Linked DNA regions of Canis lupus familiaris. The protein of the gene in region 2 purifies or fractionates together with the protein of the main gene of each other region. This does not show direct contact. Links are inferred from orthologs where the notes say so. Each region holds a gene or a part of one and is shown on either strand. Other genes may lie near its edges. The genes, in order: DBN1, DDX39B, LIMA1, RBM8A, WTAP, SRRT and MYO1B.

Region 1 (4,276 bases), on a different chromosome or scaffold from region 2:
GGGTTTGAAGAGGTTATTCCTACTTGAAAGCACTGGGACTCACTGCTAATCAATGCACACTGCTCTCCTTCTCCTCTTGGTGTAACTGATTACCCATCTCAGAACTCAGAGGCCCAACTGGGGGCCACCTCCTTTTCCATCTCCCAGACTGGACCAAGTAAAGCTTGCTTGATTCTGTCACCTCCCCCAAGAAGATGGGGGTGGGAGGCTGTGTAGGAGGTGGAAAAGGCTTCTTCAAGCTGGGGAGAGTTTCAGGGTCCCACCTCAGCAAGGAGTGGCGATGTTCCATGAGGCCCTGGCAGTGGTGCCCACTCCCTTGTAGGGGACTTCTGTACTTGGAACCCTGCCCTGGGAGTCTGGGGTTAGATGCTGCTTCTGGAACTGTACTTGGGATTCCTCTGTGAGGCCTGAGGCTTGGGAGAGAAGGCAAAGGAATTGGAGGCTGGACCCATCAGAGACAGCCCTTGGGGGCAGCCAGGAACTGAGAGAGTGCTCTGGAGAGAGGTGGGTCAGGGATGGGAAAGAAGTTGGGAATCCTGGAGTACTGAGCTAAGTTGGGGCTGAGCACAATCAAGGAGGCAGGGATGGAGGGGTGTGGTTGGGAACTGGGATCCCAACGGGAATAAGGTAGGCTGGACTGACGAGGGTGCTGCTAGCGAAGGTGGTTATTGTGAATGTGTGGAGGTGCGCACTGAGGGCGTGGTTGGGAAGTAGGCTGGGAAAGAAATGGGTTGGATGTGGGGTAGGGACACAGATGGCAGTGAATAGTGATGGGGGTGGCCTAGGAGTGGACCTTTCAGAGGTGGGTATGGGCTGCATACGGGCCAAGGTGGCTGGTCCAGTTGGGCTGGGGTTGAGGGTTGGAATGGAGATGGGTTTAACCTGGTTTGGGATGGCAGGGGGATGGGGCTAAGGCTGGGACGGAGAGAAATTAAGCACGGGGTAGAGCTGTGCCAACCGGAGCGAAGAGGATTTGGGCCTGGGACTAGGAGCTGGAAAGGAGAGGGGGGAAGCCGGGCCTGGGTGGTGGCCGCAGACGGGAACCCCGCGAGGTGGTGCCGCTGCTGGGTATGGGGCTGGGGGAAAGGGTGAGCGCCCACGCTGCGGACACCGTGCGCGAGGCTGGGGACGCGGGCGAGACGCGGCCGGGGTGCGGGAGCGCAGAGCGCGGGCGGGCGCGGGGCGCGGGGCGCGGGGCGCGGGGCTGGGGGCGCCCGGGGCAGGCCGGGAAGGGGGGCGGCCTCCCCCTGGGCCCGCCGGGCGGCGCTAGGACCGGGCGCGCGGAGGGAGCGAGCCGGGCGGAGCCTGCGCCCCCCGCCCCCCGCCGGCCGCTCCCCTCCCCCGGCCGCGGCTCGCTGGGCTCGCGGCGCTGCAGAGGCTTCGCGGCGGCGGCGGCGGCGGCTCCCTCTTTCCTCGCCTCCTGCTCTGGCCGTCGGTCCGTGCTCCGCGCGTCCGTCCGCTCGGCCTCAGTCCGGCCAGCAGCATGGCCGGCGTCAGCTTCAGCGGCCACCGCCTGGAGCTGCTGGCGGCGTACGAGGAGGTGATCCGGGAGGAGAGCGCGGCCGACTGGTGAGCCCCCGCCCCGCCCCCGCCCGCGGCCCCTTTGTCCCCGCCGCCGCCGCCGCCGCCTTTGTTTCCGCCCGGCTCCGCCGCCCCGCAGCCGCGAGGGGAGGGGGCCCCGCAATGGTGCAGCGGCCCGGGGGGCTCGGGAGGGGCTGCCTCGGCGCGCGCCGGGGGAGGGGCCGGGCCGGGCGGGCGCTGCCGGCCCCGGGCGCCCGCAGGCGGCCCCGGCCTCGCGCCGCGGCGGTGGCCGGACGCTCCGGGGAGGCGCGGGGTCCAGATGCGGGGCCCGGGGCCGCTCGCCCTGCGGGAGCCCATCCCCCGCCCTCGCCCTGCCGCCCCGGGCCCCGGGGACAGGTGTGCACGGGGCGGCCAAGGGCACCTTCGCCACCTTCGGGCGGGAGCGGGCCGGGCGGGGACGAGGCGGGGAACCAGCCAGCGGAGCCAGCGCAGCCCGCCCGGCCCGGCCCGGCCCGGCCGCAGCACAAAGGAGAGCTAGGGCGGGGGAGGGGCGGGGCGGGCCGGGGCCGGGGCCGGGGCCGGGGCCGGGGCGCCCCGCCCACCGGGGGCCTCTGGGAGCCGGGGTGCGAGGGGGCCGTGTTCCTCGCCACCTAGCCGCCGCCGAGCGACTCCTGTTCCCCTCAGGGGTCGCGGAGAAGGCCGAGCTGAGACCTCCTCTCCCCGATCCGGAGGGGACTGCGGGGACTAGGCAGTGGGGCCGGGAGCTGCCTGGCCAGGTGGCCAGCTGGGGTCCCTGAGAGGAGGCTCCCAGGCACACAAGTGTGGAGGGAGCGCCCAAACAGGAAGGAGAGAGTGAGTACATCCATTGAGCCCCGAAGCCTCAGGCTCAGTGGTCAGCTTCCTCGTGGCAGATAAGCTGAGCTACCTTCTCTCCCTTTCCTGGCTGTTGTCTTGCCCTGAGCTTGAGACGGGATGGACCACCTGCTCTCTCTGGCTGGAGACCCCTGGGTGGCAGGAAAGCAAAGGGGTCCCACACTGCCCCATTCAGGAATCCCCTTCCTCCAAAATACTCTCTCCTGGGACAGGTGCCCATTCTGTTCTCTAGGCCTGGTCTTTTCCTAGCAGGAAGGAAACTGAGGCACAGAGTGAGGCTAGGTCTGAGGGCCCTCACGTGGGCTGGCCTCACCCTCATCCTAGGAGGGCAGTTAGGTAGGGACACTGACCCGGGGGCTGGAGGAGGGGCAAGATGGCCAGGCGTCCATGCCATGGTACTGCAGCACTGGCGGGCAGCCAGGCCTGGAGGGATGGATGAGGGAGAAAGCCCTCAAGTCCTGCAGGTCAGTCACAGGAGAGGCCAGCACAGGCTGAGCCGGCAGGAGGCCCACCCATTGTCCCAGCCCTGCCCCATGGGGGCTGAGATCATGGGAGGAGTTCAGGGCAAGTGGCCCGCTTGGCCTGGTGGAGGAACTAGGCTTAGGATATGGGCCTTGCCTGCAGAGGCACAGCCCTGCCTTAGAACACCCTACTCGTCCTCTGGTCTGCTGGTTATTATATACCACCACCCCGTTTCCCTCTAACCTCCCAAAAGCAAGGTTCTGGCAGTCCAGCACAGGGGTACACAACCGCTGCTGGACCACATTCTGTTTAGCAGAGGCCTGGGCTCCCACCACTCAGCAGCATCCATGTGGCCAAAGCAAGTTATTCATCATTGGCATGCGTCACCCCCATCTGGGTTGTGTGTGGGACACACATGTACACATGCACCCTCGTACATACAGACATTTGCTAACTCCCAAGGGCCTAGATAGCGTTTTGTAAAGAGGATGTGAAGAACACATCCTGCAGAGTAGGGCATGAGTGCCCCCAGTCCCAGTACAGAACCAGGAGTATAGTGGAGTCTCAGGACTTGGGGGCAGACCCTGTACTCAGAGGCCAGAGGAGTGGATCTTGGGTACAATTGCTGTCTTGGTCAAGAGGCATGGTACTGCCTTCACTTACCTCTGAGGGGGATATTGCTCCTATGTGGCAGAGCCTTTGAAACGGACTGTTGCCCTGGATAGGACACTACTCACTGTGTTAACTACACACAAGTGTCTGCTCCTCTCTGGTCCTCTTGAAAAGAGAAGGAGGGGATGGGACTCCACCATATCTGGGACCCCCAAGGCACCTTCCAGCTCCAGCATCCTGAGAGTGGAATTGGACTGAGGGCTCCTCCATCTGCCTTTGGTCCCCACCTCAACCGAACATGGGATCTCCCTGGAGTGGCACATCCCAGGCCCACCTCACCCTAGTCCAGTGTCTCTGGCCTCGGTGGCTTCTCAGAGTTTGTGTCAATATCACAGATACCTACTGGTTCTGCCCTGTGCTGGACCCGGGACCCAGTGAGTGATGCATGTTGATTGAATTGGATGTCTCCGTTTCACACAGCTTACAGTTAGAGGCGTTGTCTGTTTCCAGGGGTTGAAGCTGAAGAGACATGTAGATCCCTGGGACCCCATCCTGATACCTGTGGTTTCAACAGCTTCCACCCTTTCAGGCCTGGCTGTCTCTGATGTGTTTGAGAAGTACAGGTCTAATGAGATCTAGGATAGGCTTAGAGGCTTCTTGCCATCCCTTATGGGGTATGGTAAGTGCTCTAAGGAGGTGCAACTTAGGACAGGGCTTCCTGGGAAGCTGGCATTGGGTCCCTGAAGGATTTCAGTCAGGGCTGGCCCATGGGATGGATAAATAGGTCTAGCCCTCCTGTGGAGGGAAA
Region 2 (3,705 bases):
AACCGGCCTGCTCGGGCCACCTGGAAGGAGACAGAGGATAGTCCTGGGAGATCCCGAAGTAGGAAGACATCCAAAAAGAAGGGAGAGGCTATCAGGTATGAAGATACAAAATCAGGGGGAGGGGACACTGGAATGCACGTGTGGGTGTGGAGCTTACCCGATGCAGGTAAGTGTCAGAATCCTCAGGCATGTCATAGTTGAAGGCAATGTTCACCCGCTCAATGTCCATGCCTCGGCCAAATAGGTTGGTAGCCACAAGAATTCGTCGTTGAAAATCTTTAAACTGCTGATACCGAGAAAGCCTTCGTGAGAAAGGAAATTAGAAAAATACTGAGTCCCTTCGCTTCAACGGTCTCTTTTCCTTCCCAAGGACACAAAACATCTTTCCATTTCTGACTTACCTCTCCTCCTGGGGCATCCCTCGGTGGATGGCAATGGCTGGGAAGTTCTGCTCTACCAGCAGCTGGGCGAGGGCAATGCAACGCTGCACAGACTTCACAAAGATCACCACCTGGGTGTGTGACAGTTGGGGGACATGGGTCCATGTGGGATAAGTGAGAGATTAAGTGTGAGAAGAGTTTTCAGTAACTACTCTTTTACTCTTCCTGAAACTTCTCCAATCCCCATTACATATTCCTCTTCTGTTCTAAATACAACTTAGCCTTTCTCACTCAGTTCTGATTTTTCCTGAGCAGACATGCTGAAGAGAAGATACAGAGAAAAGTAACTAAAACTACCAGATATGTTAGGGAGACAAGGATGAAGCTAATGGTAAAAATGAAAGTGGTAAAAATTTAAAGTGTGGAAAAAAAAAATTTAAAGTGTGGAGAGTAGTTTCTGCTCATCAAAAACATCAAACATATGCAATTTACCTTAATTTTAGAAAGTTTTTGGTGCAAACGAACCACAGCAGGTAAAGTATGGAACATTTCTTCTCAGTAAACAGTACAAGAAAAAACAAATTTTAAAAACCCAAGAAACCCAAGATATTTTGGAACTTTTACAAGTTTATGAAATCCTCTCAAGGATTTTGAGATTTTTCTTTACTCAATACCTGGCTGTGACAGCCAAAGAACAGAACAGCAGCTCCCATCTTGTTCACACTCAGCACCAAAGGCACTTAAATTCTCATTTAAAAGAATTTCATTTGAAGGTAATTTCCCCACTGTTCTCGCTCACATCACCTATGTCATATCCTCAACAAAAAGGTACTTAACCAGGTTTCTGCTACAGTTGGAGACGTGCTCATCCCCCTACTGGACTTTGAACAACTGACCTGATTGAACTCAAGGACATCGAGAAGGTCAAAGAGCTTCCGGTTCTTCTCGTTGTCCTTCAGTTTCACGTAGTACTGCTGCAACCCATGCAGCGTCAGCTTCGTCTCATCATCCACGAAGATCTCCATTGGCTGGGGGAGGGAGGGGGGAGTAGGGGGGGAACGGGAGGAGGGCAGAGTGGGGGGGTTAAACCTGGGGGGGTGGAGGAACTTGATCTCCAAAACACCCCATTGGGGGATGGGAAAAGAGAAGACTGAAAACCCCACCACACCCCCAAAAATATCCTCATTTTAATGTGGTCTCTTCCACGTTAGCTCTAATTTCCTTCCTAGCAGTTGTTTTAAGATTGCCCAAGTATCACGGGAAGGTAACCTGGCAAGGAGTTTGAAAAGGAGCAGTGAGACCACCCAATGGCAAGATGCCATGACCTCAAAAGGAGGTAGCAGAGGAAAGAAAACAATGGGAGAGGATCCCCAAAGGGAAAATGTAATCCAAACACCTGGGAATTGGTGGACATGGTGACTCGAGGTCAGGAATTCCACCACTATTGGTTGTAAAAATAGAGGGGAAGACAGGGATTGCTTCATTTGAGTATTCTCCCAACTAAGAGAATCAGGGGGCACCTGGGTGGCTCAATCGGTTAGGCGTCTGCCTTCGGCTCAGGTCATAATCTCAGGGTCCTAGGATCAAGCTCCGAGTCAGGCTCCCTCCTCAGTGGGGATCTGCTTCTCCCTCTCCCTCTGCTCCTCCACCTGCTTGTGCTTGCTCTCTCTCAAATCAATACATAAAATATTAAGGAAAAAACCAAACAACTAAGAGAATCAGATCCACATCAGGAGGGTGGATTATCTGTCAAGATCAGAATGCTAAAATGAACATAGTCAAAAATACCATGAAAAGTTACTCAGGATGAGTAATAACTCGCCCTCAGACCACAAGGGAATAGTTCAGATGGCACTGGTCTCTGAACTAGGAGTCAAATCAACTAGTGTTACATGGACAGTACCAATAAATGGTGTTAAGAAACAAATTCAGAGCAGCAGATATACAACCATCTTGTAATATATATATGTATATATATATATATATACACACACATATATATGTATATATGTATATACACACACATACACACACGCACGCACACATAAAACCCTTTAAGGGGAGGAAGATAGCAAAAAAAAAACAAACTGACACAAGACTCAACTCCTGAGTCCAAGTTTCCTAGCACTCTTCACTAACCTGGGGACATAATTAACATGAACACCCAGGGCCCAAGGTTTCAGGAAAGGATGAGTGGCACGGGAGAGAACCAGAAGCCCAATCCCAGAAAGCAGGCTTGCAAAAGCAGGCTTTTCAAAATGAAGCTTCATGGCCTCCTTCAAATCTAGCCCCAAGTATAACTAAAGGTAACTGACATCCCACGGGAAGGAGCAGTACAGGATAAGAAAGAATACACTGCACTGTTTATACAATAGGGCCCGTCTAGTGCCAAACCCTAACACCCACCTGGTTACATCCAAGTGGAGCTCCTCACATTACTTTTCCCATATCCCTCTCCTTGGAGTATTAAAAAATTGTTTTAAAAAAGAAAAAAAACTACCCCCCGTTTCAGGACACCCCTCCCCCCAACACATATGGGGAAAAACAGGGAGCACGGCACGCCTTGGATTCAGGAAAAAAACCGGGAACAGAAAAAGAGGCTGGTTTGGTCCTCAGCTTCCTGGTCAGGTTTCCCCGCGGCCTCCGCTGCCGCCATCCACCGCTGGGTGCCGTCTGCATTTCCCCCGCCGTTCCATGGTGCTTCTCCGCTGCCGGCTCACATCAGCCGAGATTCCGGATGGGTGCGAGGAGGTATGGACGGAAGGAGTAAGGGATCGGGGACTGAGGTGCCAAAGGCCCCCACCCCTGGAGGTGGGGAGGGAGCGGATTCATTTGTGCTGTTTGCTCTTCTTTTGGACATGCCCTGCCATCTGTCTGTCCCTCTCTTGCTCTCCTGCCACCGGGGGGTTGAGTTTTGGGGAGCAGAAGGCTCCAACTGTCTGCTCCATGCCACCTTGAGGGTGCGTGGCTGTAAAGGGGTATGTAGGAGACGATGGGTGGGTAGTAGGGCAGAAAATCCTGCCCTCCCCCAAAAAGGAAGAAGAGGTTCAAAAATGCTGTGATGAAAAAAAAAAAAAAAAAAAGGTCGAACACTACCCGCTCTCAAGTTAACCCGACCAAGTCTTCCGGAGTTTCCCTGGCACCCGCGCAGACCCTAACACTAGCTGTCTCTGCCTCTGTGTGTCTCTTCAAGGAGTCATCACTCCCAGATGGGCACGTGCCCCCTTCTTGGCATTTGAAGGACAAGGGAGTCTGGAGGAAGAGGGCGCAGAAGGGGAGGAGGCAGTGGGCGGGGAGTGGAGGGAGAGAAGGTAGAAGGGTATTT
Region 3 (3,705 bases), on a different chromosome or scaffold from region 2:
AGGAGGAGGCTTACAATGGTGCTTTGAGTCACAACAAAACCCCTTCCTCTCTATTTAGGATTTCTGACATTTTCCCCCTTCCACTTAAAATTCTTCCTATTTAAATTAAAAAAAAAAAAAGAAAAAAGAAAAAGAAAACTAAAAAATTTTTTTGTTTTATTAAGACTCTAAAGGAGAAAGGAATTGGCAGGCCCAGAGGGCTAAAAATTGAGAGGGATGAGAGTTTAAGAAAAGTCATAAAACTGCTTTGTGGTTACATCTCTTGCCAACTGGTTTCAGTGTTAAAATAGAGCTAAAACTCAGGCACAGGAAAGAGTTCTAGGCTTGCAGACCTTTAAAAATTCTTACTACATCCTCGAAATAGATGATCCTTTAAACACCCAAGAACTTTTTTCTAGGCAGGAAAGCAATAGGCACCGCAAGTGATGGGAGGAGATTAACTAAATCACGTCAGACTTAACCGATGATTATAAGACGAGTTATCGAATTTTTGTCTCAGAAAGAAGGTCTTATACCATTACTTCACACATGTAGGGATTTGGGCCAAATATTTAGCTTAAAAAATTTCAGCTTTCCCATCTAGATGGAATCGAGAGAAAATGATGGCTTTGCTTCCTGTCAGATCTGTTTATTTCATTATAATGACTGTTATAACAAACCATCCCCATGTACAAAGCCAGATATGCAGGAAAGTATGAGAAAACTGGAAAAATTTACCAGTTCAGCCATCCCTGGACTGTGTTATAAGTCACCAGCATATGTAACTCATTTTCTAGTTAAGTAATTCCCTCTGGGTACCCGGTCTGCAATCCACACGAAGGATCAAATTTCATTAGCAGTTGTAGGAAAATGCAACCCTGTGCATTTGCAAGTCAAAACTCCTGAAGGCTACAGCTAGTCTGGCTATCCTCATTGATTTTGCCTGGGAGAGGATTTTAGCTGATAGAAAACATTTGTTGGAAGGCACAGATGAGGAAGTTGAGAAGAGAAGGAGTCAGCTAGCATAGAGACAAGTAAGCCTCAGTCTTAATGTTAAACTCTGGCCTTAACACTCAGCCTGCAGCTGTGTCCAAGCAGAGAAAGATTCAGCAGTAATTCCACCCCCAAAGCTACAAATGACAAAAGGCACAGGAAGATAAATTAAAAGGGCAAGCGTACAAAAACACAAAATCCAATCGGCACCAAACTGCCTTCATTTCTAGATACTAACCTGAATCCCAGTATGTGCTTGATTTCACGGGAAACTGGGTCAGAGACCCGCAGATCTTAGCCTCCATGTAAATAACTCGAGACTGTTAGTTAATTCCTTGAAGTTTGAATCAAAAGACATACTGACCACCACTCAAACTGTCTAGATTAGAAAAAGAGCTTTGTTTCGTTACTTGAATTGGCTTTCTCAAGGTTTGAAACCGGCCCAGTCCTTACCTTGGTTTGAGTCGGTTCACCTTTCTCAAACATCATCTTAAGCCTGTTCAGCGGAACATTGTATTTCTCTATTTTGTTTGCGCCTTCTGTGTTTTCACTGATTTCAGGTTTTCCTACTTCATGCCTGGGTTCTCCTACACACGTTTCCATTTTTTTACTTTCTTTCGAGGGGTCTTTAAGATGCTCACTGCCCTCAGTGCGGGGATACGGACACTGAATTAGGGCTTCAGGAGGTGATCCGTGCCTAGGTCTGGGGTGGGCTCTTTCTTCCTGGTCAGCTTCGGCCTCAGAGGCAGAGCTTCTTGCCACTTCACCCGGAGGATGGTCGCCTCCGGGTCTGACCTCAGTGCTGCCGTTTCGCAGGGAGTCTGGGTGAGGCTCTGTTCCCAGTGCTGGGTTCTCCCACTTCTTCTTTAACACCGTCAGGATCCCCCTCCTGCAGTGCTGGGGGAGATTTTCAGTGTTCTAGAAGAACAAGAGGTAAGTGCCAGTTATAACTTGCCTGTTGAAACATTCAAACATGTTCTTTGCAAAATGAAAGTTAAAACTCTAAGCTGCTCCTGGTCCACTGGCGTTTCAGACAGCTGTGAATGGTTACAGCCCTGCCACATGGAGAAAGCATCCACCCCGGGAGAGGGAGAGGGGAAGAGAGAAAAAGTCAGGAGCTGAAGCAGGAAGTGATAAAACAGGATAGCCTTATAAGGACAAAATGAGAAGAAAGGAGAGCCCAGATCTAATGATAGTTACATGGGAGACAAGGGATTTTTTTTAATCCAAAGATTAATAAGGAAAACAAGAAAGAGAAAGCAAAATATTAGGTACTTGAAACACTGCAAATGTGCATTAACACAAATCACAAAATTATATGGCGAATCCTGTTTTTTTTTTTTCTTTTACATATGACAAAGATGAAGTATAGCTGAAACTATGCAATACCCTACTTGTGGGCAGTATCATCAAAGATTGAAACTATTTGTAGAACTTTAAAGAACTCACCAGATTTTTACGTGTATTTGCATCAATGATATTTCATCATATCTGACATAATCTACATGCATATGAAAAGTCAGTCAACTTTTATTTTTACATAAGAATCTAATCCTCTTTTCCCCTGCTCTTCTCTACACGTTTATCCATGTATAAATTCTCAGTTATCAGAAAATTTGCTATTTCACAGATCCTCTGGTAGAAAAATATCCAGGCTTCATATGAAAACACCATCACCCACCTTCTTGACTGAAGGACACACATTGACACATCTAAGGGAGTTCACTTTCACCTGGGTCAAAATGGAATTAATTTATACATATAAGATTGCAAACAACCTGGAAACTGCCACAATAACAGAGGAAACATGCTTGATGAACTAAATTCAGTGTCCCATACTCTGAAAGCATTCCTATAAATAAACTGAGCAGCACCACCTCCCAACAAACCACGAACTCCAATACCTTCGTACCCTCCGTTCCTGTGGTCTGTGACTCACGTCTTTCAACTAAGAAAGAAAGGACAAACCACCTAGGACTGAAAGACTTCCGGGAATTAAACGGGATTAGCAGCTATATTGGGAATTAAGTCTCTCACTCTATTACTCTCCTGAATACACTGTATGAGCTACTTCATCAAATAGCACCAACGTTGGAAAAAACGTACAGAGAACTACCGCTTAATTTTAGCGTTTAAATCTTTACTGAAAAGATAACTCATTGGTGTAAGCATAGAAGGATCAGAGATACAAGAAGCACAAAAAAGTTTTCTTGTTAGAAAAGCAAACTGCTCTGGACACTGGTGTTGCCTTATCACTGGCAGCATGTTTGCTGGATGCTACCTCCTGCCACACAGTGGATGAATCATCTGGGTCTCCAACTTCACCTGCCCTGCGCTAGCCCTGCCTACATAGGAGCCCTAAGTGGCATTTTGCCTTGGTAACTGGACGCTACTGGACGCTACTTTTCTCTGTTATCATGTGATAACATGTATATCATGTGATCCAAGTATATTTATTGACATGGAAAAATGCTTGTAAGATACTTTTGAGTGGAGAAAGCAAACTTTAAGATCACATAATCCCATTTTATAATACAACTGCATATTTATAAATATAAACGTAGAAAAGTACTCTGGAAGAAAAGACATCAGGATGTTAATAGGTTACCTCTGGATCATGGATTATGGGCATCTGTATTTCTTTTCTTTTTATAATAAATGTGTATTCATTATGTAATACAAATGAATAAAAAAACTATATGTCATCTTCATATCACAAAAATCTTCTACAGA
Region 4 (4,169 bases), on a different chromosome or scaffold from region 2:
ACTGCTTCTAGCCTGACAGCTATCAAACCAAAAATGGTATCATAACCATACCCCAGTACCTGATGCTGCCAGTATTTTCTAAATGCCTTCAATTCTAACCAGCCTCTAGCCACCCTCTGAAGCTGAGTTAGCTGGGCAAGGATTAAGGAGAAAGGTGATTAGTATTCTGCTTTAGTCTTAGACACCATCAAGTCTTCAAGTAGACTTAGTAGCTTCATAGAACACCACACCTCAATCAAAACCTCTTCTCCAGCATGTCTGTCATAATCCCTGAGGCGGGGGGGAGAGCATATATTCCCAGTTGGGGAAGAAGAGGATTTGCAGCATTACCACCTATTTGTCATATCCTCTTCCCTGTATCAGGAGAGCTCCAGCTCATCATCTCTGCCTATTCATCTGTTCACCCTACACTCAATTCAGAAACTGAGTGATTCTGAATTTGAGTATGTTTTCTAAAATCCCAGCCCCTGCCAGTGAATTTGCCCTCCGCCGCTCCTTAGACAACCGCTCCTGTGTACGTCTGCAGGCCCTGCGACTGGCCCTGCTGGTCTTGCTGACCTTCGTCTTCTGCCGGACACCTTATTACCTACTGGGCCTGTGGTACTGGTTCTCTCCCACCATGCTAAATGAAGTCCCCCCCCAGCCTCAGCCTCAGCCACATCCTTTTCCTTTTCGGCCTTCTCAATGCTCCTCTGTATCCTCTCTTCTATGGGGCCTTTACCCTTGGCTGTCAAAGAAGGCACCAAGAACTCAGTATAGACTCTTCTAAGGAAAAAAGATTCTGAGAGAATGCCCTGACAGGAAATGCAAACCCTTAGACAGCTGGAAGTACAAACAAATGTGGCAACAGAAAGGACAGGAGAAACAAGAGACATTCCTATAACATCCATTTGCTCAGACAGAGTATACAGGAACAAAGTAACTAAGCTTTTATAACACCTCACTTCTACCCCTGCTCTCTTAGCTTCTAAGAAAAAGAAATACTTTGACTCTGAGACTTGAGATATCTAATGTAGAAATTCACACAGAATTGAGTCCTTAGAAGTATCCTCATAGTGACCCATACTACCTTACTGTAAATAATGCTTCAGAGCTTGCAATGTTAGAAAAGGAAAGTAATTTTAAATGTACAAAACAAAAAATGGGACATTTATTCATAATTCAAAAAAAAAAACCCCACTAAGTAGGATAAGAGATTAAATATAAACAGTGAGTTCCACCTCAGCCCTATTTCTCCAAGGCTGCATGGTCAAAGAGAATCTCTGGAGAGAACATCTGGACAACAGAGGACCTGTCAGCGCCGCCTCCTGTCTGGACTCCTGCTGCGTCTTCGGCCACCTCTAGGGAAAAGGAAGGGTCCATCAGGAACATAATACAATGTCCTTATTCTGTTCTGCTCATGTTCCCTTCACCAAGATAGTTTGCCCTCTCCACTTTACCTCCTCTTGCCCTTTGGCGGACCCCGAACAAAACACCAGTCCACACTGATCGGCTGTCCCATCAAATCCTGGCCATTGAGTCCCTCCATAGCAGCCTGGGCTTCCTTGTATGTTTCATACTCAACTAAAGTATATCCCTGGGATAAGTGAAAAGACAGATCAAAACCCTCATATTCCAAACACTACTGAGCATCTTCTTCCTCAGATCTAAACTCATACTCAAATAGAAATATCTATAGACTTTATACAACAGATGTACATCATATATCCTTACTGTGTATATATTCAAAATATGTTTCCATCTCTTTGCTGTGTCTGACAAAATCAATTTTCTTTTTTTTTTTTTTTTTTTTTTTCAAAATCAATTTTCAATCTCATTTATTTCAACTTTGCTCTTTGGCCAATCAGAGAAAACATGGGAGAACTACCAAAGCTGTCTAAAGGTTGTGAGGGAAGAGAGGCAACAACAGTAGGATACCTTCAAGTATCCTGTACGCCTGTCCAGGTTGAGGTGGATATTTTTTATCTCCCCATATTCTGCAAATTTGTCATGGATGTCTTCTTCGGTGGCTTCCTCATGGACTCCAGTGACAAAGAGAATCCAGCCTTCAACAGCTGTTGGGGAAGGGAAGGAGGTTTGTGCACAAAAGAAAAACTTCAAGCAAGATCACAAGAGTGGATTAAGGTATCTCCGACCCCACTCCTACTGGGTTTTATTTCATAGGTCCATAATACACTAGTGTCCATCTCACTTACAGCGTTGCGGTCCGGGTTCATCTCCATCCTGCTCCACACTGTCATAATCCTCACGCATCCGCGCTCGAGACCCTTCTTCTATATGGAACATACAAGAGATCACCAGAAATCTCTTCTACCACTGTTCCCCATGAGTGTGAATGGGGACTCCAAAACTCGTAGCTGTCGCCATTCTACACCATTTTCCCCACAAACACTCACCGGAGCCAAAGCCGCGGCCCTTCCGTTTCTTTGCCTTTTCTTTCAATTTGTGGATGCTCTCTGGATCCCCAGAAGTGAAAGAATGAATAACAAAAATAACAGGTATTTACAACAATAGTCTCTTTACGGAGGCATTATCTGAAAGCAGCCCCACCACCTCCAGTCCCATTTCCCTCCCGGTCCCGCCCCCATTCCTCCCGAAGGGGGCGCAGTCTCTAATCCAATCGAAACTCAGTTCTACTCCCAGCCGCCCTGCCGGGAAGGGCAATTATTTTCCTATTACTCCCTTCTTTCGCACCTTCCCGGCTTCCCGCAGCTGCCTCCACTGTCCTCACCGTCCCCATCTTCATCCATGGCAAAATCCTCGCCCCCAGCCTCATGAAGGTCCAGCACGTCCGCCATCTTGCCTGCCTTCTTACTCTCGTCGGTGCCGCTCAGGCACTAGGCACCTCGGGAAACTGTCGCGGAGGGGAAAGGTCACTAGTCAAGCTGACCAATCAGAAGCTAAATCTAAGTCCCGCCCCCGGCGCGGTGAAAATACGCAAAAGAAGGCGGGCCTAGTTCCGGAAGATGTCGGAAGTGCTCCTGTAGCCATCTTGAGCAGGTGGCGAGCTGAATGGAGTGGTGCTCTAAGGGACAAGCTAGTGGGTAGGTGCAGGCAGCGGCTTCCTATTAATTAGGGCAACCAAGGAGAAATACTGTAGTCAGCGAAGCACAGCCCAGTTTCTCTATTAGAGGATTGTTTTCTGTCTCCTTGGACTCCATAGGAAATGGAAGTTGAATTTTTTTTCTCTCTCAAAACTTCTAGACCCGTAACCTGTTTTGAGGAGCAGCTAGCTGGGTCTGTGATGGAAACATTTTTAAAATAGTTCATTCAGCAATGCTAGCTCAAAAAGCCGAGTCTGGCTCGTACTGCAGCGGCGAATTTCTCTTAAGGAAGCTAATCTTGTGAATTAGGATTGCTGAGACGGCTATCGGCTGCCTTTTTTTTTTTTTTAAGATTTATTTATTTATTTTATGATAGACATAGAGAGAGGGGCAGAGACACAGGAGGAGGGAGAAGCAGGCTCCGTGCCTGGAGCCCGACGCGAGTCTCGATCCCAGGACCAAAGGCAGGCGCCAAATCGCTGAGCCACCCAGGGATCCTACCCCTCCCCCCCCCCGCTTTTTTTTTAAAGATAAACTCTCAAACTCTTCCCACCACCTCCAGGAATTTAAAAGAAAAAAAAAAATTAATGGCTTTCAACAAAATGGGGACTTTCAACAAAATGGGGACTCCGGCTTCTTTGGGAATGGTGTAGGTATTTCGTGTTTCAAGACCCATATTGCCCGCAAAGTTCGGAATCCTGATGTAGGCCTTCAGCAATAGTGGACTGCAGGTTTTCATATTATTTTTTTAAATTTTTTATTTATTTTTAATTATTTATGATAGTCACACAGAGAGAGAGAGACAGAGACACAGGCAGAGGGAGAAGCAGGCTCCATGCACTGGGAGCCCGACGTGGGACTCGATCCCGGGTCTCCAGGATCGCGCCCTGGGCCAAAGGCAGGCGCCAAACCGCTGCGCCACCCAGGGATCCCCTTCATATTATTTTTTAATCGAACAGTTATAATGTGTGTACCTAGTATTAGAGAAGGTGCTGGCAGTAGAGGAAAAATAATTACATTATCAACAATTACTTTATATAATTACATTATGATAGTGACAATTGCTATCACTAAGTGCTTAGGAAGTTTATAATAGGACTGGGAGCAAGAAGGCTTCCATTTGAA
Region 5 (3,705 bases), on a different chromosome or scaffold from region 2:
TATTTTCTTCAAACAGAAACATTTCTCAAGTGTCTACATGTTCTAGAAGGGGAATTTTTCGGAGGTGGCCACTTCTTCGGAATAGTCCGACGCCATCAGGCCTCTGAAGCAAGGGGAGGGGGAAGAAAAAAAAGCTGAAACACAAGGTTCATCTGGTAAGTTTTACATTAACCATTACAAGCTGGATAGTATAAGAATGTGGCTTTTTTTGGCTCAAAAAGTCTGAGTCTTGGTGTGGAAACGAGTACTTGGCTGTCCCACCACAGCTTTCTCGTAGTGGGACTGTCAGGGAAGTCTTGACTGGGGAGTATGATTTGTTTACCTATCAGGCGTAAACTTCCAGGCACTCAGTTCATTTTGGGCTTGTTCCAGTTTGTCTTTAGTCTGTTCCAGTTCACCTTTCATTTTTAGGAAAAACAAGTTGATCGCTGGGTCTACCATTGTTGATCTCAGTTGGGCAACGCTAGGCTGCTGGACTTGCTTGAGGTACTGGATTTGAGTCTGTACAAAGCAAAACAAACAATTACTACCAAATCGAAGAAAACAGTCATAGGAATATGGGATAAAGTCCCTTTTGTTCATAGAATTTATCAACTTGTCCTTCCCCCTTTGACCTTAACATCCTCTAGAAAAAGTACAAATTATAAACAACTATTTAAGGTAATCCATGTAGGAATTAAAGCTTTGATTGCATTTCCATATCTGGAATCCTTAAAAAGGCTACATCCTACTTTGCAACCAAAATGATACTTAAAAAAAAAAAAAAAATCAGTGCTATATTTACTAAGAATTTTGACACCCACTAGAAAAAAGCCATGTGTCAAATATTACATAAGAGTATAGTGAGGGGAACCTGGGTGGCGCAGTTGGTTAAGCATCTGACTCTTGGTTTCGGCTAAGAATGATCTCAGGGTCATAAAATGAGCCCACGGGAAGTTTCTCTCTTCCTCTGCCCCACCCCACTGTGTACTCACGCTCTCTCAAATAAATAAATCTTTTTTTTCAAATAAATAAATCTTAAAAAAAAAAAGTACAGTGGTTCACACTTTCCAATTTGTATCTATGGAAATTATTCTCTATATAAGTCTACTAAAAATAAACCAAGTACAAGATTATAACTTAAATTACTTATCTGTATTTCCAAATTTAAAAATATATAGTGCTTATATTTACATGAGTTGGCATTACAGCTTCATAAATAGCACCTTAAGCCAAAAAATATATTTCTACCTTGAGTAGATTTGAATGACAAAATTGTATAGGTAGAAGGTGACTGACCACATCCAAACTCCTTATTTTTGAAATTAAATAAGCTAACTATCCAAAGATACAGTTGGCTCACTGCCAAAACTGACACTAGAATCTAGCTCTTAATAAGCCTCCTGACTCCCAGTCTAGGGCTTTTTCCACCACACCAGAACCCCTCTACTTACATATGAAACCTTCAATTTCGACTTCAGTTGTACTATTTACTAGCACACTAAAAATACATTTCTAAAATATGAAATACAGTTTATTAGAATTAAATGCATTACTTTCTTCACACCCAAAGTAGATTTGATTCAAAATCCTGCTGCACACTACAGCTTAAATAGGACTAAAGTTAACAACCAACTGCTCATTTGTATCATAAATTTAGTAAAAAATGTAAATATCTGGATTGACAATACATTTACTATTTCACCGAGCAAACAGAAGTAATTTATTTAGTTTAAGGAGATTTTTTAAAGTAATTCATTTTAAACAAAAAAGTATAACTGTTTATTCAATATAAGACCAGTTGCTAGAATAACTGAACAAGGATAAAGCATGTCATATAGTATATACCACATCCTGTGATCCCTAAAGAAAACATGCCTTTCCAACAGCGACATAGTTACTATTTAGGTTTACAAAGTAAACTGCTCTCATCTGCACATATAATCTTGCACTTTCTTTGTATTGTTGCTCTTGCTGCACTTTCTGCAAAACCTTACTCTGTAACTGAAAATGAGTTGTTCAGCTGACCTATGCAGGGGAAAGCTGCAAAAAAAGAAAAAAAAAAAAAAGAAAAAGAAAAAGACTGGAGGGGTGCCTGGGTGGCTCAGTTGGTTAAGCATCTGCCTTCGGTTCAGGTCATGATCCTAGGGTCCTGGGATGGAGCCCAGGGTCAGGCTCCTTGGTCAGCAGAGAAGTCTGCTTCTCTTTCTCCCTCTGTGTATGCTCTTTCTCTATCAAATAAATAAAATCTTTGAAAAAAAAATATGACTGGAAGTGGCTAGGTTTTAGTTGAAACAGCCTTTGAAACCTGGGACACAAAGACAAAAGGGTGATAAAGCATCACACCAAAGTCTCTGATCAGGCATGATATGGATCAAAACTACCAGTGTATATATAAAATAGAAATGAGTCAACAGTATATATATATTGTCCAGGTAAGTGTAAAAAGTACAATTATGTGTTATATGAAAGGAGCGCTCCCCTCATCAAGGATGGAAGAGGCCCTCAAGTCCTGATGACAGACATACGGTTATGGCACTGCCACCTACCGCATGGCTTCTAAGCACTGTTTAAAAAAAAAAAAAAAAGTACATGAAATAGGATAGCAATGGCAATGGTAGGACGCACGAAGAAAAAATTCAAGACATAATGGTATAGTAAGATATTACTGTTGGCACCGTCCATTCACACTCTACTAACAGCACTTTGAAGATAAGAGTCATCCTTTGCATGTGACAAACATCTTACAGAGTGCCATTTAAGTACAAACCTAAAACTAGGTACAATCTAGAATCCTTAATATCAGAAAAAGGAAAAAAGAATTAAAGAGTTTTGAGAATGGGTACTTTAGAGACATAGTGCCCACTCCATTAAATATGAAAATCTAAGGAGAAAAATTTTCTGAAGGGATGGGGTGGGTGTTATAATTAAAAGAAAATTATATTCAAACTACTGGAAAGACTTCTTGGAACCATGTGTCCAAATAAAATAACCAAAGGCTGGGGTGGTCAAGAGTTGAAATTACAGAAAGAGAAGGTGTGGGATTATTAAGAAAAGAAATTTTAAGAAATAACAGTACTGTGATTGAGCCTTAAAAATGTTTTGGTGAGAAAACAATTAGGAATAGGACTGCACCCGATAGAAGAGTCTCCAATGACCAGAATATTGCCTTCTACATTAGATTTAATAAACAATGTTATCAAATCAATGGAGATTACACAAAAGAATTCAAGAAGATTTCAGATTTTCAGGGCATCTGGCTGGCTCAATGAGAAGAGCAAGCAATTCAATATCAGGGTTGTTAGGGATCCCTGGGTGGCTCAGCGGTTTAGCGCCTGCCTTTGGCCCAGGGCGTGATCCTGGAGCCCCGGGATCGAGTACCATGTCGGGCTCCCTGCATGGAGCCTGTTTCTCCCTCTGCCTGTGTCTCTGACCTCTCTCTGTGTCTCATGAACAAATAAATAAAATCTTTAAGAAAAAAAATATATAGGGATTCCTGGGTGGCTCAGCAGTTTGGCGTCCGCCTTTGGCCCAGGGCATGATCCTGGAGTCCCAGGATCAAGTCCCACATCGGGCTCTCTGCATGGAGCCTGCTTCTCCCTCTGCCTGTGTCTCTGCCTCTCTCTGTGTGTGCCTCTCATAAATGGATAAATAAAATCTTAAAAAAAAAAAAATATATATATACACACACACACACACACACACACACACATTGGGATTGTGAAT
Region 6 (3,705 bases), on a different chromosome or scaffold from region 2:
CGCAGACACAGAGTATAAGAACTGGGGGTCAATGCTACAAGACATTGACAAGACCAGAGGTGCCTATCATAGACGATATGGTATTGGCTGCTTTTTAAAAAGTTCCATGGGAGTCACTGACTGTTGGCAGAGGAGGTGTCCCAGGCTCAGAGGCCCAGAGCTGGGTCCTGTCATCCAGCGTGTGGATCAGCTTGGCGGCCAGTTTGATGTCGTTGCGCACTATCTGCTTGTGCTGGGTGATGCCATTGATGTTGCGGACTCGACGGGTCAGGTCTCTGTTCACACCAGGGCTCAGCTCACACTCCCGGAGCTAGAGAGAACACAGAGCTCACCAAATGTGCCCGAGAAGCAGCAGCTCAAGGGACTAGCCCTAGTGACAAGACCAGTGACTAGAACATGAGCTCCCCAAGAACATGGACCAGGAGGGTCTTATCAGGGACAGCACCTAGGCCAGACACCAGTACACAGTTAATGTGAGCAGACTGAACAGATGGGTGGGAGCACAACAAATGAATCAAATAAGAATCGGGTGACGTACATTACAGAGAACCCAGTCCCAGCACTTACTCGGATATTCTGCAAGTTCCAACAGATCTCTTTGATGTTAACACTGCGGTCAAAGGTGACCCAGCCACGGCGGAAAAACCTACAGAAGAAACGGTCAGCATAACCCTGGGATACTGGCCATTAGCCTCCCCCTGTACCTATTTCCAAGGTATACAGGGTCACTCTCATCTCCATTCCTCACCTCCTCTCAGGCTGGGGCTCTGACAGTGCCACACGCATGAAGCCTGGGTATCTTTTACAAAGCTGGAAAAACAGAGGAACAGAAACCCCAATGAGTAATTCAGCGTTTCTCACTTCTTCCAATCCCTGTGTCCTAAGAACCCTGAGAAATGCCTGTGAATCTTTCAAGTAAGGAAAAACCAATAAAGGGCTTAATAATAAAAGCACTTGGGATGCCTGGGTGGCTCAGCAGTTGAGCACCTGCCTTTGGCTCAGCGTGTGATCCCAGGATCCGGGACTGAGTCCCATATTTGCCTCCTTGTGGGGAGCCTGCTTCTCGCTCTGCCTGTGTCTCTGCCTCTCTCTCTTTCTCATGAATAAATAAAATCTTTAAAAAAATAATAATCATAAAAGCACTTAAGGGACGCCTGTGTGACTCTGCAGTTGGGCATCTGCCTTCAGCTCAGGGTGTGATCCCGGGGTTCTGGGATCAAGTCCCACATCTGGCTCCCTGCAGGAAGCCTGCTTCTCCCTCTATCTTCTGCCTGTCTCTCATGAATAAATTTTTAAAGAGTAAAAGCACTTAGAAGCAAATGGTATAATCGAGGGCCAGCCCACAAAGGGCCCACGAGAAGAGGCTTCCCTGTTAGAGAAATGGGTATATGTTAGAAGCAGAACCATATTATCTTACCCCCGCCTCACCAGCTCCCCTTCCCTGCTACCAAATATGCCATTCCTGCAGCCAGTACCACTTTTTCCCACTCACAGAAATGATCTCGGCTCGAGAGATGTTGGGTGCGATGTTGCGCATAAAGAGGGAGCAAGTCTTATGGAGGGGCCGAGGTTTACATTCCAACCCAGGAGTGTCCTTAGGCTTCTCTCTGTCTTCTTCTTTGGGCTTCTCCTTTTCTTTTAGTGCCTCTTCTATGCAGGAAGTGTTGGAAGTTGGTGAATATTTATTGTTGATTTTGGAGGGAAAGAAAGAAGTGGTGCAACTCCCCCCCCACCCCCATGTCCCAAAGGCCGGCCCTTATCAATTTTGCCCACTCCCACCTCCCCTACCCCTATTCAATAGGAAGAGAATGAACTAAAAGAAGATAAAACCTACCAGACTCCTCCTTCTCTTCCTCAGCTTGGCCACTCTCTGACTCTGACTCGGACTCTGACACGCTGCCTTCATCAAAGCTGTCATCACCACTGTGCTTCCTGTTCCGCTTCTTGCTAGTCTGTGAGAGCCACAGCAAGAGGAGGGGAGTCAGATAACCAGGACCCCAGATCTGACAATGACCGCCTGGCAAGAGATACCCTACCTTTTTGGCATCTTTCTCAGAGTCATCTTTCTTCTCTTCCTTGTCCCCATCACCCTCAGATTTCTTAGTTTTGTCATCATTAGAACTGTCATTTTCAGCCTGCAGGTACAGACAATCCCGGGGATGTCCATCTCCCCTTCAACCTTTATCAGAGGGCCCCCTCCCTAGCCCTCCACCTCTCCTGGACCCAGCACACAACCCACCAGGCCCCCTGACCACTGAAGTTGCACCTTCCTCCTCCCTAGGAACTCAGAGGCAGCACCCAATGAGCCCAGCACTCTGACCTGTTTGCCGTCTTCTTTCTTGTCATCCTTATCATTGGCCTTGCGCTCTCCATCCCCCAGGCCTGGTCCAGCCCGGCCTTCCTCTTTCTTACTGGGCTCTCCAGGCTTTCCTGCCTGCTCCTCCTCCTCCTCCTGCTCCAGGATGCGCAGATCATTCTCTGTCCCTCCTTCCATCTTAATCACAGCTACCAACAAAGGGAGCAGAGGTCACAATCCTAGGGTCCTGGCCTTCAGCCTCTTGCTTATCAACTGACTTCTATTTCCAAACCAAGATCTTGGGTCACCAGACACCCTCTTCCCCTCCCAAATCCACATACCTGCATCCAGCATCTTGACGATGGCATCAGCTTTGTCTATGTCCAGGAGAAGATTATCAAACCAGCCACTCTCCATAAGGGACAGGAATACCCTCAGTCGGTTTTGCAGGGCCCCCCGGGCCTCCTGCCGACGCTTCCCCACCTCATCTGGGTGGTACTTAGACCGAAACCTGGGAAGGAAGTGGGGAGGGAAGAGACAAAATAGTCACTGGATGCCAGGGCCAGGACATGGGGAGGGGCCCAGGCAAGTCAGGGCTTAGCCCCCATCCTCTCACACCCACAAAAAACCATGAAAGCAGAAAGACTGGGGAGAAGGGTACACTAGAACCACCCAATACCCCCAAAAGGAACCAGAGGTTATGCTCTGAGAAGATTTGTGGGAGAGCCAGGAACTAAGAGCTCTGGATTTGGGAAAAGCCATGACTAAAGGGGAAGGCCAGGGTTAGAGAGGCAGAATGATTGCCCTGTGTCTCTGGGAAACACTAACTTAAAAAACTGTAGTTTCCCAAAGCTTCCAAGAGGAAGGCTAAGGAAATAGTAGATCCCAGAGAACCTCCCTCTCCTTGCCAACCCAAGAGCTAGTCATTAACAGGACTGCTCCCACCAACTCCCTCCATCCCTAGGTGGAAGACAGAGGGAAACCTGAAATGCACTGATAGGAAAAGCCAAAAAAGGCAGAAGTTTTCTCCCCCCTTGGGAAGAAAAGCAGATGGTGAAGGGACAGGGAAAGATCAAAGGGAGAAACTGAAGTGCCCTTATAACCTCAGGTACTGCCCACAGGGAGAGAGAGAGAGAAAGAGAGAGAGAGGGAGAGAGAGAGAGAGAGAGAGAAAAGAGGTGCAGGATTAGGGTGGAGCATGGAAAGGAAACATTTAAAATAGGACCTTGAGGGGGTAAAAACAAAAAAAATGAAGAGTATGAGAAAAACAGAAAGGGAAAGTGTGACAAAGTCCCAGAAATTGAAAACAAAGGGAAAAACTAAAGGCCAAAGAAAATGGGGGAAAAAAAAAAAAAAAAAGGAGGAAACAAGTGTTAGGCAAAGAGCAAGTACAGGGACCAAGAAAGAAT
Region 7 (3,705 bases), on a different chromosome or scaffold from region 2:
GCCATGCTGGATGAGGAGTGCCTGAGACCTGGCACGGTCACCGACGAGACCTTCTTGGAGAAGCTCAACCAAGTGTGCGCCACCCACCAGCACTTCGAAAGCAGGATGAGCAAGAGCTCCAGGTTTCTCAACGACACGTCCCTGCCTCACAGCTGCTTCAGAATTCAGCACTATGCTGGCAAGGTATGGGGAGGAGGCTCCAGCACCCAGTGGGCCTGCAGTTGTTCCCGCGAGGAGCCCAGGCCTCAGAGGGGGCCTTCTGACCAGCGCCAGCTTGGGAAGATGAGTTGCCAAACTCGTAGAATCAGTAAATGTTCAATAGAAGTAGAATCTGGATCATGGGATGCCTGGGGGGCTCAGTGGTTGAGCGCCTGCCTTCGTCCCAGGGCGTGACCCCGGGGTCCCGGGATTGAGTCCCGCATCGGGCTCCCTGCTTGGAGCCTGCTTCTCCCCCTGCCTGTGTCTCTGCTTCTCTCTCTCTGTGTGTCTCTCATGAATAAATAAATAAAATCTTAAAAAAAAAAATCTGGATCATGTCAGTTGAACACAATCTTAACAGAGCTGAAAGGAAAGCCAGTGAACTTAATGAAAGAGCTCGAGTATATTTTAAAAATCGGTTGTATTGTTTCCAAGCTAGAAGTTATCCTATAAAAATAGATCTGTCAACATGAATAAAAGGTTTGCTAGTAAAAATTAGGTGTCACTAAAGACTGATAGTGAGGTCTGACAACCAGAGATCATTTAGCAAAAATAATGAATTCCTAGATTGAGATTTTGAAACAACAGTGGGAAAATAGCTACTTTTTTGAAAAAAAGTGCTTACTCCTTTACCTAATATTTGAGAGAATTAGTTTTATGCCATCTAAGATATATAATGTTAAAAACCAATTTTGACAGTAGCTTAATTTTTAGAGTCCTGAAAGAATATGGATGTTAATACCTCCTTCTACATGAGGTTGCAGGCTTCAAAGAGGAAAACATTTGTAATTATATATTTAGTAAAAATTAAGTATGTAGTATCCGATTTACTGTTAATTTTAAAAAGTTGGAACTTGGTACTTCATTTTTTGTTTGTTAGCTTGTGTTATTAAAAGATACTTTTCTGGTTAATTTCCCTGCACACTTAGGCTGTCTGAAAACACCAGGGTTTTTATCTCTGTTTTCTCCTGTCTATTTTCAAACAGACTAGAATTGGCACATGTGAACTAAAAAAAAAAAAAGAGGAGGAGGAAAAGTAAAACCTCAAAAATGTGCTCAAACACCAAAAAAGCCTAAAATCCTTTGAAAATGTTATGATAGCATTTTTGGAGTTTATTCTTGCAAATCCTGAAGCGTAATAGAATTTATTTTGAACTCTTCTGTGATTTAGACAGATGGAATTTAAACTTGGAGGCTAATTCGGTATTAGGAGTGTGACTAATGTGCCTGAGGGTTTTCGATGGAGAAAGAAGAGGCTGCATTATAGATAGTCTTGGAATATTTTTAACAGTTGTGTGACATCCTGGAGTGCAGTAATCAGCAGTTGAATTTCTTGTACTGCTCATAGGTGCTGTACCAGGTAGAAGGATTTGTTGACAAGAACAATGATCTTCTCTACCGAGACCTGTCCCAAGCCATGTGGAAGGCCAGCCACACCCTCATCAAGTCTTTGTTCCCTGAAGGGAACCCAGCCAAGATCAACCTGAAAAGGCCTCCTACAGCAGGCTCACAGTTCAAGGCGTCTGTGGCCACACTGATGAAAAACCTCCAGACCAAGAATCCGAACTACATTAGGTATCTCTGCACATGAAACTCTTTGACAGGTTCCTTAGGAAGGCACTTTCAAGGAAGATCATTTTCCTGTTTGCTTAAATCCGAATACCATCCCCCCAGAGGATAACTGAAGTTCTTGCCCTTCAAGTAATGTGGTATCTTGGGTTTGCTTAAAAATCACTCCAGTAACCCTTCTACTCCTTCAAGCAAAGACTTAAAAAGTGTGGGGTGGGGGGGGGGGGCAGAAAAAGCGTGGTAGGGGATAGGAATAGATACTTAATGAAATTGCATTGTTGGCACATAAGGTTTTTCACTTTTCACTTTTTATATCTTTTTTTGGTTTCATGACATTTTAGAAATGTAAGCTTTTTTTCTGGTAAAGGTTTTGCTTAAAACTCTTGTATTGGATTCACTTTGGATTCTTGTTACATTAACTTACAGCACAGCATTAAAGCAAGTTGGGCTTTAGTTACAAATTTGGTGTTCGAAAGTATGTCTTTCTTTCCTATGAGACTTATAGATTTGGAGATTTTGTTCCCAGAACAATCCTAAATTTTTCAAAGCAACAGAAAGAATTCCTTAAGGAGCATCTGGTCTTTTTCTTTTTCCTGTTTCCAGGACACCTTAGATCTCAAGATTCAGTGAAGGCCAATTAGGATTAGAGTTTTCAATGTGTGTATTCGGTGAGTTAGATAATGGGAGATGTGTGCCTAACAGGTCAGTTTTCGTGTAGCGTACACACGCCCACACATCCCTTCCCATAACTGTTTTTAAAAATGCAGTTGTGAGGAACCTGGAGTGAAGAACATTTTTGTGTTGGTTTGTATACCTAATATTTATATTAATAATAAGTAGAGTCAGAATCCCCTGGTTTGACATAATCAGGTTGAAACATATTGTAGGTAAAGATCCTAATTTCAAAAAACAGGAAACTTTCTGTGTCAGTTGCTTTTGTTATTCTCAACTAAGTGGATTTTTAAAAATTATTATTTAATAATAATTTACATGAAGTGATATACACAGATCCTAGGTGAATAGCTCAGTTATTTTTTTCACCATTGTATATACTTTGTCAACCACCACCTTGGTCAACATATGGAACATTCTATCACCCCAGAATGTTCCTTCATCCCCCTTTTATTTTTTTTATTTTTTATTTTTTGCCCCTTTTTTCCCCTTTCCCTTTTAGTGGCCTTAATGTACCTCTAAGAAGTCTTAATAAACTATAAGCTTGTGAATATATTATATTTTTTTCTAGAGTCTTTTATGTAGTTTCAGATTTCATATTAAGGTCAATATAGCTACCGTGTTGCTCTAGCACCATATATTGAAAAGAAAAAAATTACTTGATGCCTTTATTGAAAAATCAATCGAAAACCTATATAAGAGTCTAGGTCTAAACTCACTATTCTGTTCCACTGATCTGGTTGTCTATTTTTAAGCCAAAGGGTGGACATTATTTTTATAAATGTATAAGGAGAAGCATAAAAATATCAAAGTCAAACTAGGTAAGATTTAGTTGTTCACATATTATATAATGTGTGCAGAATTTATTTCGCATGTGTAGGTAGGCAGATACAACCATAAATGCTGAATAGTGTATTAAGATACGGAGATCACGTCCTTAAGATCCAGACATGACAATGACTTAAACAAGACTGTTATTTATTTCTTAGGTAACCACTGAGTATAAGGGCTTCAGGGCTGATCCAACATCTTCTATTTTGTGGCTCTGTGGTTCCCAGGGTGTTTCCCTCCTCCGTATTGTCAAAGATGGCTTCTCAGCCAGCCGTTAGCAGGAGAAGAACAAGGGGCGTGCAAGTCCTTTCCTTTTAGGGACACACTCATTAGTGTCCTATATTAGTTCTCCTGTGATCCTAGTGGCCAGACTTTTGATCACATGGCCACACCTACTTGCCAAGGAGGCTGTGAAATGTAGTCTTTCTTAGGGCA

Evidence for each region.
Region 1: the proteins of DDX39B (region 2) and DBN1 purify together in Homo sapiens (affinity purification with mass spectrometry, with the first as the bait; 3 studies listed by BioGRID). This does not show direct contact. The link is inferred for Canis lupus familiaris from reciprocal best matches to the Homo sapiens genes DDX39B and DBN1.
Region 3: the proteins of DDX39B (region 2) and LIMA1 purify together in Homo sapiens (affinity purification with mass spectrometry, with the first as the bait; 3 studies listed by BioGRID). This does not show direct contact. The link is inferred for Canis lupus familiaris from reciprocal best matches to the Homo sapiens genes DDX39B and LIMA1.
Region 4: the proteins of DDX39B (region 2) and RBM8A purify together in Homo sapiens (co-immunoprecipitation; 4 studies listed by BioGRID and IntAct, with this or other methods). This does not show direct contact. The link is inferred for Canis lupus familiaris from reciprocal best matches to the Homo sapiens genes DDX39B and RBM8A.
Region 5: the proteins of DDX39B (region 2) and WTAP purify together in Homo sapiens (affinity purification with mass spectrometry; 3 studies listed by BioGRID and IntAct, with this or other methods). This does not show direct contact. The link is inferred for Canis lupus familiaris from reciprocal best matches to the Homo sapiens genes DDX39B and WTAP.
Region 6: the proteins of DDX39B (region 2) and SRRT purify together in Homo sapiens (affinity purification with mass spectrometry; 3 studies listed by BioGRID and IntAct, with this or other methods). This does not show direct contact. The link is inferred for Canis lupus familiaris from reciprocal best matches to the Homo sapiens genes DDX39B and SRRT.
Region 7: the proteins of DDX39B (region 2) and MYO1B purify together in Homo sapiens (affinity purification with mass spectrometry, with the first as the bait; 3 studies listed by BioGRID). This does not show direct contact. The link is inferred for Canis lupus familiaris from reciprocal best matches to the Homo sapiens genes DDX39B and MYO1B.

What each region holds. Positions count from the first base shown.
Region 1 is NC_049225.1:36,784,495-36,788,770, forward strand, and holds the start of DBN1 (drebrin), read left to right. Parts: upstream 1-1,355; 5' UTR 1,356-1,483; coding exon 1,484-1,569; intron 1,570-2,283; exon of another isoform or gene 2,284-2,373; intron 2,374-4,276. UniProt on the Homo sapiens protein: Actin cytoskeleton-organizing protein that plays a role in the formation of cell projections. Required for actin polymerization at immunological synapses (IS) and for the recruitment of the chemokine receptor CXCR4 to IS.
Region 2 is NC_049233.1:1,171,674-1,175,378, forward strand, and holds part of DDX39B (spliceosome RNA helicase DDX39B), read right to left. Parts: intron 1,409-3,705; coding exon 1,277-1,408; intron 512-1,276; coding exon 402-511; intron 303-401; coding exon 158-302; intron 21-157; coding exon 1-20. UniProt on the Homo sapiens protein: Involved in nuclear export of spliced and unspliced mRNA. Component of the TREX complex which is thought to couple mRNA transcription, processing and nuclear export, and specifically associates with spliced mRNA and not with unspliced pre-mRNA.
Region 3 is NC_049248.1:42,123,967-42,127,671, forward strand, and holds part of LIMA1 (LIM domain and actin-binding protein 1), read right to left. Parts: intron 1,891-3,705; coding exon 1,426-1,890; intron 1-1,425. UniProt on the Homo sapiens protein: Actin-binding protein involved in actin cytoskeleton regulation and dynamics. Increases the number and size of actin stress fibers and inhibits membrane ruffling. Inhibits actin filament depolymerization.
Region 4 is NC_049238.1:59,380,327-59,384,495, forward strand, and holds the start of RBM8A (RNA-binding protein 8A), read right to left. Parts: upstream 2,861-4,169; 5' UTR 2,799-2,860; coding exon 2,732-2,798; intron 2,457-2,731; coding exon 2,397-2,456; intron 2,274-2,396; coding exon 2,196-2,273; intron 2,055-2,195; coding exon 1,918-2,054; intron 1,577-1,917; coding exon 1,440-1,576; intron 1,341-1,439; coding exon 1,295-1,340; 3' UTR 1-1,294.
Region 5 is NC_049222.1:49,497,293-49,500,997, reverse strand, and holds part of WTAP (pre-mRNA-splicing regulator WTAP), read right to left. Parts: intron 2,555-3,705; exon of another isoform or gene 2,438-2,554; intron 502-2,437; coding exon 323-501; coding exon of another isoform or gene 319-322; exon of another isoform or gene 104-318; coding exon of another isoform or gene 43-103; exon of another isoform or gene 1-42. UniProt on the Homo sapiens protein: Associated component of the WMM complex, a complex that mediates N6-methyladenosine (m6A) methylation of RNAs, a modification that plays a role in the efficiency of mRNA splicing and RNA processing.
Region 6 is NC_049227.1:8,831,600-8,835,304, forward strand, and holds part of SRRT (serrate RNA effector molecule homolog), read right to left. Parts: intron 2,808-3,705; coding exon 2,638-2,807; intron 2,506-2,637; coding exon 2,321-2,505; intron 2,136-2,320; coding exon 2,037-2,135; intron 1,953-2,036; coding exon 1,835-1,952; intron 1,651-1,834; coding exon 1,493-1,650; intron 811-1,492; coding exon 749-810; intron 647-748; coding exon 568-646; intron 311-567; coding exon 122-310; intron 1-121. UniProt on the Homo sapiens protein: Acts as a mediator between the cap-binding complex (CBC) and the primary microRNAs (miRNAs) processing machinery during cell proliferation.
Region 7 is NC_049258.1:1,781,501-1,785,205, forward strand, and holds part of MYO1B (unconventional myosin-Ib), read left to right. Parts: coding exon 1-183; intron 184-1,546; coding exon 1,547-1,773; intron 1,774-3,705. UniProt on the Homo sapiens protein: Motor protein that may participate in process critical to neuronal development and function such as cell migration, neurite outgrowth and vesicular transport.